3 linked regions of the Kluyveromyces lactis genome follow. The protein of the gene in region 1 interacts with the protein of each later gene in a pairwise test. Links are inferred from orthologs where the notes say so. Each region holds a gene or a part of one and is shown on either strand. Other genes may lie near its edges.

Region 1 (3,954 bases):
AATCATGGAATTGTATGAATACTACAAACAGCACAATTATGGGCAAGAACAATGTGAAAATGGGGTCTGGCAAGTGATAGGATTCAAAGAGTTTTTGCCGTGGTTAGAAGAATCAAGCGAATGTGATCTCAATGAATGTGTTGAAAAGATGAAAGTTCGAACTAGACAATACGCAAAAAGGCAAGTGAAATGGATAAGAAAAATGTTGATACCAGATGTTGACGGCAAAGTCTATATTTTAAATGCAACAGACCTATTAGAGTGGGATGTGAGCGTTTCAGCTAGAGCTAATGCAATACTCTCAGATTTCACAAAAGGCAAAGACATTGAGGCTCCGTTAGCTCAGCCAGATTTAGAAAAATTGTTAGCATACAAGTCATCTAATAGTCCAAAAAGCGATATGGATTGGAAACAATTTTCCTGCAGTTTATGTAAAGATAAAGAAGATAAAAACCTAGTCGCAATTGGTTCGCGTAATTGGGAAATTCACTTGAAAAGTAGGCGGCACAAAACTAACATCAACAGGCAACATAAAAAGAAGTCGTATGAAAAATGGCAAAAGAAGAAGCTGCTGGAAATGGATAGCAGCTCTATCAACTCTCATTAGTGTCACATAGTAGGGTATCATTTAGTTCAGTTCTTTGCAGCTTACGTTCATTTACGTAATCTTCGATTTCTTTCAGTTTGGATTCTAATGCCGTAATTAAATCCTGATAAAATTGTTTGCCGGAAATGATATTTTCTTTTAACTCACTCAACACATTGGATGAATGTTTAAGTTCTTCCAAGTAAAGAGTACGTGGATCATTTCTGGAGATTTGAACCTGTTCTGGTGAGGATAGCGTTACTTTAGTCAGCATTTCTTTATTTTTAGCCTTTTCCTTTTGTACCTGCAGCAAATCGCCATCAAACATTCGGATATGTTCTTGAAAGACAGGTTCAAAATCTTTAGATCCTGTCTTTTTATAATATGATACAATTTTAGGAAGGAGACGGTTTTCAATTATCTTGCGTTCTGCCGCTAGTATGTGATTCTTTCTTCCTTGCAATATCAAGGATGCTTCTTTCATAATAGGGTCACTAGATTCAGGTGGTTGACTGACGTTGGTTACCAAATCATGATCCAAAGTCTTGAAAAGAGACGCTGTCTCTGTATCTACTTTCATACCATTTTCAATATAATTACGGATATTGGTTAAGTCTGCCAACAGACTCTCGATTTTCTTATCTTTAGAAGGAATCTTCCACCGCAGCAGGCCATGTTCTCGAATCATTTGCTCATTTTCTTGGATGTCCTTCTGTAAAATAGACTCAGATAATTTCAATTCACCTGCAACATATGCTCGCAATTGTTCAAGGTCTTGCAATGAGTCGCTGTATGAATTCCATTCCTGCTCTGATATGTAATATGATTTAAAGTCCATATATTGCGGTGTATTCGAGATCAAAAGTTTGTTCATTGATTCAAGGGGATTCGAGATATGCTCTTTTACGTATGTCTCCACCCTCTCATTGAAAGCGTTACAAGATTCCAATACATCAATCGGCAATAAGTTCTTGAATATATTGCCATCTTTTTTCTCAATCTCATCGAAAAGATCCGCTTGCACCATCATAACTGGTTTTACTTTGGAGGGATTTTGCACTGATGCCTGTAAATAAATAAGGTCATTATCTCTCTCTGCCGATTCAAGTAACGCTTGCACTTCTCCTCTCCATTCGGTAAGTTCATCATCCAAAGAAAGTTTGTTAATCCATGTCAATGCATATTGAAAATCACATATACCTTGAGCATAATTTTGTTTCTGTACCTGATGCAATCCAGATCTGTAGTATGCTATTGCCATGAAATAGTGGGACTTTGAGGTTAGACTTTTTACCCAATCAGTCCTGATATAAGGACTACAATTTGAATTCTTCGAAGCGGTTTGATAAAATAAAGCTACTTGCAAGGCCAATCGCGAAAGAATGGAGTGTCTTTCTATATCATCAAAGCATGCCTTTTTCCAAACCATTTGCTGCGCTTGTGCTAACATCATAGAAACGAGAGCATTCAGAGTGTATTCATCGAAGAATTTGAAGTTGTTACTGACTTCATGCTCATAGATAAATTTAAAACAACCCGCAGATAGTTTAAAAAGACGGCAGCTTTCCTTCAGACCTTCTGTGCTTTCTAACCGCTGCTCAACTGCAAGTGAAGAATACATAGCCCCAATATTGTATAACACATTAAATGTTTCAAACCGGAGACTGTTTCGTGTCATACCCGAAGACTTTAATCCGAGTGTATTAAACCAGGTGAATTCTACCTGGTCATCGGGAAGCTTGACAGCAATAGCTTTGAGAGCCATATAGTATTGTTTCAACATATTTAAGTCAGCTTGGCAAACGTCCAGATGGAATAAAACATCCCTATATTTGTCAAGTTGGGTTAAATCAGCCTCTACCGATGCCGCTGTTTGGTAAAAAGTGTTGTTTATTACAACGGTAAACGCATCTTTCAAATTAATTTGAAGGGCGCGCTTAAACGGTATAGCAAATATATCATTCATTATGGTCTTAGACTAACCTTTTGGCGAAATGTTTTCTCAACCAGAGATTTTGGGCTTGCTATCATACTATTGTTGATAAATGCATTTACTTTTTCATTTTTTAAATGTCTATACCTTAAAATACATATAATACATTAGACCATAAATAACCTACCTCTGGTAGAAGATGAGACCTCTATATCTTCATGAGCATCTCTGAAATCATCACCATGTTCCTCTGCATTTTCTACTGACGGTATTAATGTCCTGGAATTCGTGCTACTGATGGTATTCATTCTTAAGGAATAAGATCTTGCAAGATCTTGTTTTTCCATTCCAATAATGTCTTCTTCATCTGGGTCGGCAATTTTAATTTCATCGCCATCGTTCTTTAATTCATCTAATAGGAATGTTATGTTTGTGACTTTTGATTTCACCGATTGTGAACCACGTAACGTTTTTGTATTACTTTTATCTTTTTTAGAAGAGACCAAATTCTTCAAGTCTTTTACGTTCGGAACGGGATTATGTTTCAGAGATCTTGTAACGTATGTATCATTAGCTGGCGATGATTTTTTTATGCCAATGCCATTTGTAGTGGTTGGGGGTATGCTAATTTGTGGCAACGGGATTGGTGTTGAGTATCGAACCGTGTCCTGATCGATATCAGTACCATTTTGGTCAGAATGATCAACCAATAGAATGTCTCTACCCTTCTCTGAGTAGATATTGGAACCTGCATCTGAGTAGTAATTCAACAAGTCTTCCTTGGTGAAGATGTCATTGTCTTTTCTTTTAAACTCAACTTGAGTTTGGTAATCTGCTAGTCCTAGAAACTTTGAAGCATGATGATGATAGGCATAGTAACCGTCTGAAGGTCGATTGTTGTTGACATAGTAGGCCAAACCTGAAAGAAGAGAGGCTGCTTTATAATATGCAAAAGAGGTTGATATGGCAATTTCAGTATCTTGTTTTGATAAAGTAGATACTTTCTCAAAGAATCTGATAAAGATAACTTGATGTGGAGCTTCTGGATACAAAAGTTTTGATAACTGCGTTTTGTCAGTGACATATGGCAAAAACTCGCCAAATAAATCAAGATCTAGACATTGGTCACTAGTAACAGATATCAAGGAGTCCAAATCTAGCTGGAATAATTCAAGGTGATGTGGCTTTCCGCTTTCGATAAATTTAAAACTCAATTCGGCAAACATATCAGATGATTGCTGTTTGTAGTATGTTTTGCGATTTAAATCTTTAATCGTCACAGCAATCTGTTTAACTACAGTAGTTGAATCCGATTTTGCTAGCTGAACAGTGATTAGTCTTCTCAAGATATCAATCACTGATAAACCTATGATACTGACAGCTGAAGTTAATAGACTGGATATTAGTTTTAAGATCAATAACATGTTTTTCTCGG
Region 2 (3,626 bases), on another chromosome or scaffold:
AAGAAGTTCATGTCAACAACGGGCGAATACAGCTGGTTTGATTCATCTTCTTCGTTAGGAAAGTCATTCCCATTCGTTTCCCTGATATCATCATTGTCATAGTCATCTCCATCGTAGAGTTGCACTACTGGCGTTTCGCTAGAAGTCTTGTATTTCTTTTCGATTTCTCTTTGTTCCACATCTGAATCGTCTGAATCGGTGTTCGCGGTGTATGTTAGAATATCTTCAGACATCTCAAATATGGTTCTGTTGGAAACCGAGCAAGTGGCATTCGAATGCTGAGTTTATTGCACCTTACCTCTTCTCATCTCATCTCATACTGAGACTTTTTTCTGTTTTGTTCTGAAATTTTTGTTGACATTTTACTGAGCTCATAATCAGTGCATCTAATAGCAAGGGAAACCAAAAGCTGTCGTCATCTTGAGAGAAAACTCAAAATCAAACCTACCGGGAACTATGCATGAATTATAGTTGTACATACTCCTTAGAAAATAATAAAAAACATTACATATAAACTGTCAGCTTTAACCTTATAATTGTATCCACAAAAAAAAATTATAAACAAAAAAAAGAGATTGCCGCCCCAAAACCATGTCATCAAGTATATGTGTCATAACATTGCAGAAAAAATTCGGAGTAATATTCTACTATAACGAGGCTATATCACAACCTGAGGATATTTTGATAGAGATATCTTGTTCGACGGAATTCTTCCTTCAATGACACATTCTTTGGAGTCACTAAATTCATCAAATGACGTAAAGCCTTGCTCTTCCTCTTCCTCTTTGAATTCATCTAACTCCTCCATAAGTTCGCATAACAAATAATCTTTAACTAACTTGACAGTTGAATAGGTTTCGTAGAATAATTCCAAGTCTTGCTCTTCTGAGGATAGATTTAACGAAGTGAATGACTCCTCCAAAGATACGTTGTCCTTTTCGGGGATATCTTCGTTAGCCTCAGCATCCAACAGCGCAGTTCTTTGGTGTAGGCTGTAATTATTCGAGTAGTGTTGAGGATAGAATGCTGATGATGATGAAGAAGGAGATGTTTGATGTGTATCAAACCTGTTGAATACGGACAATACCGGAGGTGGAGCTCCAACATTTGGCCTGGCTGAAATACTGGGCAACTTAGGGATTAGTGGGTATGATTGTGGTGCAGGTACCGGGTTAGGACCCAAGTTAGCGGTCGGTAGGTTATTGTTAGCATAGTTTCTAGACATATCCATGGATAAATTATTGAAGAATCCAACAGCGGATCTCAATTCAGCACCGTGACCCACGAGAGGACGTTGCTGGGTTTGGTAAGGAAGAACCATATGGTGCGATACCAAGTTCGGGGAAACTGCAGTGGACGAAGCAGAAGACGCAGAAGGAGGGGAAGTTGCGTTGTTGTTATTAACAGGTAACAGCAGGACGATGGCCATCTTTTCTGCCAATTGTTGAGAGTACACGGGTTGTTGAGTCTTCACCTCCTCGTGAATAAATTTATCCAAAGAAATAGATGGTAAAGTGAATCTCTGATGAGCACGGGATCTGTCATTTGAAATCTTTCCCAGCTTATTGGATGGCTTCGGACCACGTTTTTTTTTCAGTAGTGAAAGTTCTTCGTTATGTACCTTCAAATGTTTCTTTAAATCTTGAGGTCTTTTGAATTTTTTATTACAAGTGGAGCAAGCGAAAGGTTTTAATTGCACATGAACTCTCAAATGAGACGTGATATGGTCTCTTTTAACTGTTTTAGTCTGACAATCGCCCCATTGACAGTTCAGTTGCAAATTCTTCTGTGATTTACGGCCAACATGATCTTGGCAAAGATGATGATAAAGTAGTTCGGGAGAAGTGAACTCCAAACTACAGCCTTTCCATTGGCAGCGGTGCAAATGAACAGTATCTTCGTCAGAGCTAGAAGGCGTAGAGGCAGATCTCATACCAGTGGTGGAAAGGGGTGAAGACGCAACACATGCCTTTCCATGAGGGGAAGCCGGTCCGGTATGAATGTTAGCTAGAACCCCAGCTGAGGATTGACTCTCTTCGCAGCTACTACTGCTGTTGCTGCGAGGAGATGGATACGAGCGAGGAGACAAAGGACTGACAGCCTGCTCCTCCGAACCGTGATCGTGACTATCGTGATGACCATGGATATCGCGCAAATGACTACCTGAATCAGTGCCGGTACTGGCATTCAATAAGTGTGCGATAGGTGACATTTTATAGGAGAAAATGAATTGAATATATGGACTTCGTCAATGGCTTGACTGTTTATTTCTTAGCAATTTGCGGATTGAAGTGATTTGAATCAAGAGAAGAAAGAATCAAAAACTTGTGTACAGGATGAATATAGTTCAGTATATCAGCACTTCCACACCTAAGAAGCTTTAGAACAGCGGACAGTGCTTATTAAACCTACTTTCATTCGCTGTTGGGCTGCAGAACAATTATTGGGTGAGGACCATTTTAGCCTTGTATACAATTTTTGCTTTTTTATATTTTCATTCATAAAATCTATAGAAAAAACTTATAATAATGTTAAACGATTATCTCCCCCATATATCTTCGAAGTGTCAAAAGAATGTTCTTTATCTTCGCTGAGATTTGGTGTAAGTGAAGTTCCTGACAACATGCGCAATACAGATAAGTAATATTGTAGTTATGTATTAAGCACATAGAAGTAAAAGGTAACGAAGTTACAAATTGTATCGTTTTGTATTGAGTGATGTAGTTGAGTGACCTTTGAAGTAGGTTCTGCAGCGAGAGAGGGAACTAAAGAGACAACTGGACTTTGTTGAACGTAAAAGTGGTATGGCTTCTTTCCGGCCGAAAGTGGTGCGTGGAAAATTTCAGTAGTTACTGCAACAATGACTAAAAACGTGGAATGTATTTCTATGTGCACCCTAAAACAGTCCGGGTAATAACATGGATCTGCAAAGGTGAAGGAATGAGAAACAGAGAGGACGGGTGAGTCGAAAGGACGATTTTTTATGAGTAGATCAGATCTGAAAATAATTTCGTAGCATTCAGGTACTCAAGATAGTACTCGGAGTAAACGTTAAAACATGTGGTAGAAGTCTCTTGTATTTCACATACATATTTCATTATATGTATGTATTTGCACCTAATTTTCATAGTGTGAGTGTAACGATTATTAAAACTATATATTAAGGGAAACTGAAAAAGCGAGCAGTCAACAATTACGGAATATGCATAAATATGGAAGATGACATTTAAGTGTATTTAATAGATGTGATGAGAGAGGTAGTATTACGTTTTCAATTGTAGGTATTATTAGTGTAATAGCTTTTACATTTTTTTAGTTTTTAGTTGTATTTCTGTGTGTCTTAATGCGATGGTTGTAGGCGCACAATCATTCGTTGATTACTCTTAATACTTTTCTCGAATAGTCAACATCGTCAGCGAGTGATACTCTACTTCCGTTCGTTTCCCATTGCGACATTAAATGTTGTGGATCCAGCCTTTGGTCAAGGACAACAGGTTCTGATACTTCAGACTCGGGGGTATTAACGGGTTGCTGGGTGTTTGATGTCGGCGATTTAGGACTGGTTGTCGTCGTGTTCACAATACCCTTTTCATCTGTGTAAACAAAGGGTGCTGCACCACCACCAC
Region 3 (3,241 bases), on another chromosome or scaffold:
CAGTTGTTTATGACAGTGACCCACATCAATTGGCTGGGCTTGACGAACAAGGTCATCTACATGCTGCTGGCTGGTCTAGATTGCACTCATTCGCTGTTGGTTTGCCAAACGCTCCAGATTTACAAGCTGCTCGTAAGGTGGCTACATTCATCGGTTCTATCCATCACGAACATACTTTCACTTTACAGGAAGGTCTAGACGCTTTGGACGATGTTATCTACCACTTAGAAACTTACGATGTCACTACTATCCGTGCTTCCACCCCAATGTTCTTGCTTTCTCGTAAGATCAAGGCTCAAGGTGTTAAGATGGTTTTGTCCGGTGAAGGTTCCGATGAAATCTTTGGTGGTTATCTATACTTCGCACAAGCTCCATCAGCTGCTGAATTCCACGTCGAATCTGTCAAGAGAGTTAAGAACTTGCACTTGGCTGATTGTTTGCGTGCTAACAAATCTACCATGGCTTGGGGTCTAGAAGCTCGTGTTCCATTCTTGGACAGGGACTTCCTACAACTATGTATGAACATTGATCCAAACGACAAGATGATCAAACCAGCTGAAGGTAAGATCGAAAAATACATTCTAAGAAAGGCATTCGATACCACGGATGAACCAGATTTGAAACCATACTTACCAGAAGAAATCTTGTGGAGACAAAAGGAACAATTCTCCGACGGTGTCGGTTACTCTTGGATTGATGGTCTAAAGGATGCAGCTGAAAGCACTATCTCTGATGAACAATTCGCTCAACCAAAGGCTGAATGGGGTGACGATATTCCAACTACCAAGGAAGCCTACTGGTACAGATTGAAGTTCGATGCTTTGTTCCCACAAAAGACCGCTGCTTCCACTGTCATGAGATGGATTCCAAAGGCTGACTGGGGTTGTGCTGAAGATCCTTCCGGTAGATACGCCAAGATCCACGAACAACACGTTGATAAAAAATAAGATCACTCTACTAATGTCTCTGTTATAAAATCTTATAAATATGTACAGAATAATTAAATAGAATTAGTACTTCCTCGATACAAATATACTATTTTATTTAACGTTAATGGCAAAAAGATATTTAGTGTGAGACTCTTCTATTATATGACTGGGGCATCTCTCTCATAAGCAATCTAGGATCACGACTGCTAGTATCCGAAGAGTGCTGTAGATGAACATTTCATTAGACATTGTAATTAATCACGTGATTTGATAAAGCATAGTCAAATACATTTTCTTATGTTGATGTTCCCAAGTAATTGCAAAAAGCCTATTATAATAGAGATACGTACTGCCTTAAATGTGTGTCGACTGATACGTGACTCAGTTTACCCCTCTGTTCCTGCTCCATAGTGATTTCGAAATACCATAGCCATTCAAATTGTAGAACGGCTTCAAGATTACAATTTAGTGTTCACTACTCACAGCACTTACATTGATATGAGCACCGGTGATTTTTTAACAAAGGGAATTGATTTAATACAAAAAGCCATTGATTTAGACACAGCTACGCAATATGACGAGGCTTACACCGCATATTACAATGGATTAGACTATTTGATGCTAGCATTAAAGTATGAGAAGAACCCCAAATCTAAGGACTTAATTCGAGCAAAATTCACTGAGTATCTGAATCGTGCAGAACAATTAAAGGAGCATTTGGAAACAGAACAACAGAAGAAACAAGAAAAGCCAAAAAAGGCAGCCACTGCTTCTGGTTCAGGTGGCAATTCCAATACAGAGGACGATGCAGACGATAAAAAGCTAAGAGGAGCCTTATCAGGGGCGATCTTGACAGAAAAGCCTAACGTTAAATGGGAGGATATCGCTGGTTTAGAAGGTGCTAAAGAAGCATTGAAGGAAGCTGTGATTCTTCCAGTGAAATTCCCACATCTTTTTAAGGGTAAACGTAAGCCTACGACTGGAATCTTGTTATATGGTCCACCAGGTACTGGTAAATCCTATTTAGCGAAAGCTGTTGCCACAGAAGCCAACTCTACCTTTTTCAGCATAAGTTCCAGTGACTTGGTTTCGAAATGGATGGGTGAGTCAGAAAGATTGGTCAAACAACTATTTGCCATGGCAAGAGAGAACAAGCCGTCCATCATTTTTATCGATGAAGTCGATGCATTGACCGGGCAAAGAGGAGAGGGAGAGAGTGAAGCAAGCAGAAGAATAAAAACAGAACTTTTGGTTCAAATGAATGGTGTAGGTAATGATTCCAGTGGAGTCTTAGTTCTAGGAGCAACTAATATCCCATGGCAGTTGGATAGTGCTATTAGAAGAAGATTTGAGAGAAGAATATATATTCCCCTACCTGACCTTGCGAGCAGAACAAAAATGTTTGAGTTGAACGTTGGTGATACACCATGTAAATTAACAAAAGAAGATTACAGATCTCTAGGGGAGATGACAGATGGTTATTCAGGATCCGATATTGCCGTGGTTGTCAAGGACGCATTAATGGAACCTGTCAGAAAGATTCAAATGGCAACACATTTCAAGAATTCGTCGGATGATCCAGACGTACGGAAGCTAACACCATGTTCGCCAGGCGATCCAGAAGCCATTGAAATGTCATGGACAGATATTGATGCTGATGAACTTCAGGAGCCTGATTTAACTGTAAAAGATTTCCTAAAGGCTATACAAACGTCAAGACCAACAGTTAATGAAGAAGATATACACAAACAGGAAGAGTTCACCAAAGACTTTGGTCAAGAGGGAAATTAGTTCGAATTCCAGCAGCAATTAAAAGATAATAGTAATGATGTTTCAAAATGCTTTCATGGGCAATATAGATAAATAATCATATACATAGAACGTAACTGAGTCATAATCCTAGCTGATTTTAGCATTAGAACACGAAATAACCCTGATTAATAATCCTTCAGGTATAGTAGCTTGTTCTGTTTTCGCTATCAGATATCTTTGCATCCAATATCTTAACCTTGATGATCACGTTGTCATCACCTTTGATATAACAATTAGCATCTGGATTCACTCTTAGTAGTTGCTTTTCATAGTAGTCGGATTCTTCAGATGATGGATCAATAACTGTCGCTGTACCTGATAGCGTGGCTGACATTTGTGATAGTTCAGATTGATTCAACTCTTGCAAAAGGTTGAGCAACCTACTTGGTTGTTCTTCAGAATCATTAGAATCTGGCACTGGAGTATTGGATACACTTGTTTTCCTCAGAGATAGTTTTTTTGCTGTGACCCAGTCATGGATCAAAAGAGATACAGATGGG

The links.
Region 2: the proteins of RIM20 (region 1) and RIM101 interact in binary tests that used the Saccharomyces cerevisiae proteins (3 or more experiments, as listed by UniProt). The link is inferred for Kluyveromyces lactis from reciprocal best matches to the Saccharomyces cerevisiae genes RIM20 and RIM101.
Region 3: the proteins of RIM20 (region 1) and VPS4 interact in a two-hybrid assay, tested with the Saccharomyces cerevisiae proteins (2 studies listed by BioGRID). The link is inferred for Kluyveromyces lactis from reciprocal best matches to the Saccharomyces cerevisiae genes RIM20 and VPS4.

The regions. Positions count from the first base shown.
Region 1 is NC_006039.1:638,554-642,507, reverse strand, and holds RIM20 (Rim20p), read right to left. Parts: upstream 2,553-3,954; coding exon 594-2,552; downstream 1-593. Other genes in the region: MOD5 (tRNA dimethylallyltransferase), read left to right, coding at 1-607; EFR3 (Efr3p), read right to left, coding at 2,687-3,954. UniProt on the Saccharomyces cerevisiae protein: Required for the proteolytic cleavage of the transcriptional repressor RIM101 in response to alkaline ambient pH, which is necessary for sporulation and invasive growth.
Region 2 is NC_006041.1:79,102-82,727, reverse strand, and holds RIM101 (alkaline-responsive transcriptional regulator RIM101), read right to left. Parts: upstream 2,213-3,626; coding exon 659-2,212; downstream 1-658. Other genes in the region: GRC3 (polynucleotide 5'-hydroxyl-kinase), read right to left, coding at 1-233; WSC4 (Wsc4p), read right to left, coding at 3,367-3,626. UniProt on the Saccharomyces cerevisiae protein: Transcription factor that mediates regulation of both acid- and alkaline-expressed genes in response to ambient pH.
Region 3 is NC_006038.1:948,817-952,057, reverse strand, and holds VPS4 (AAA family ATPase VPS4), read left to right. Parts: upstream 1-1,427; coding exon 1,428-2,720; downstream 2,721-3,241. Other genes in the region: ASN1 (asparagine synthase (glutamine-hydrolyzing) 1), read left to right, coding at 1-947; KLLA0_B10824g (pyridoxal 5'-phosphate synthase), read right to left, coding at 2,878-3,241. UniProt on the Saccharomyces cerevisiae protein: Involved in the transport of biosynthetic membrane proteins from the prevacuolar/endosomal compartment to the vacuole. Required for multivesicular body (MVB) protein sorting.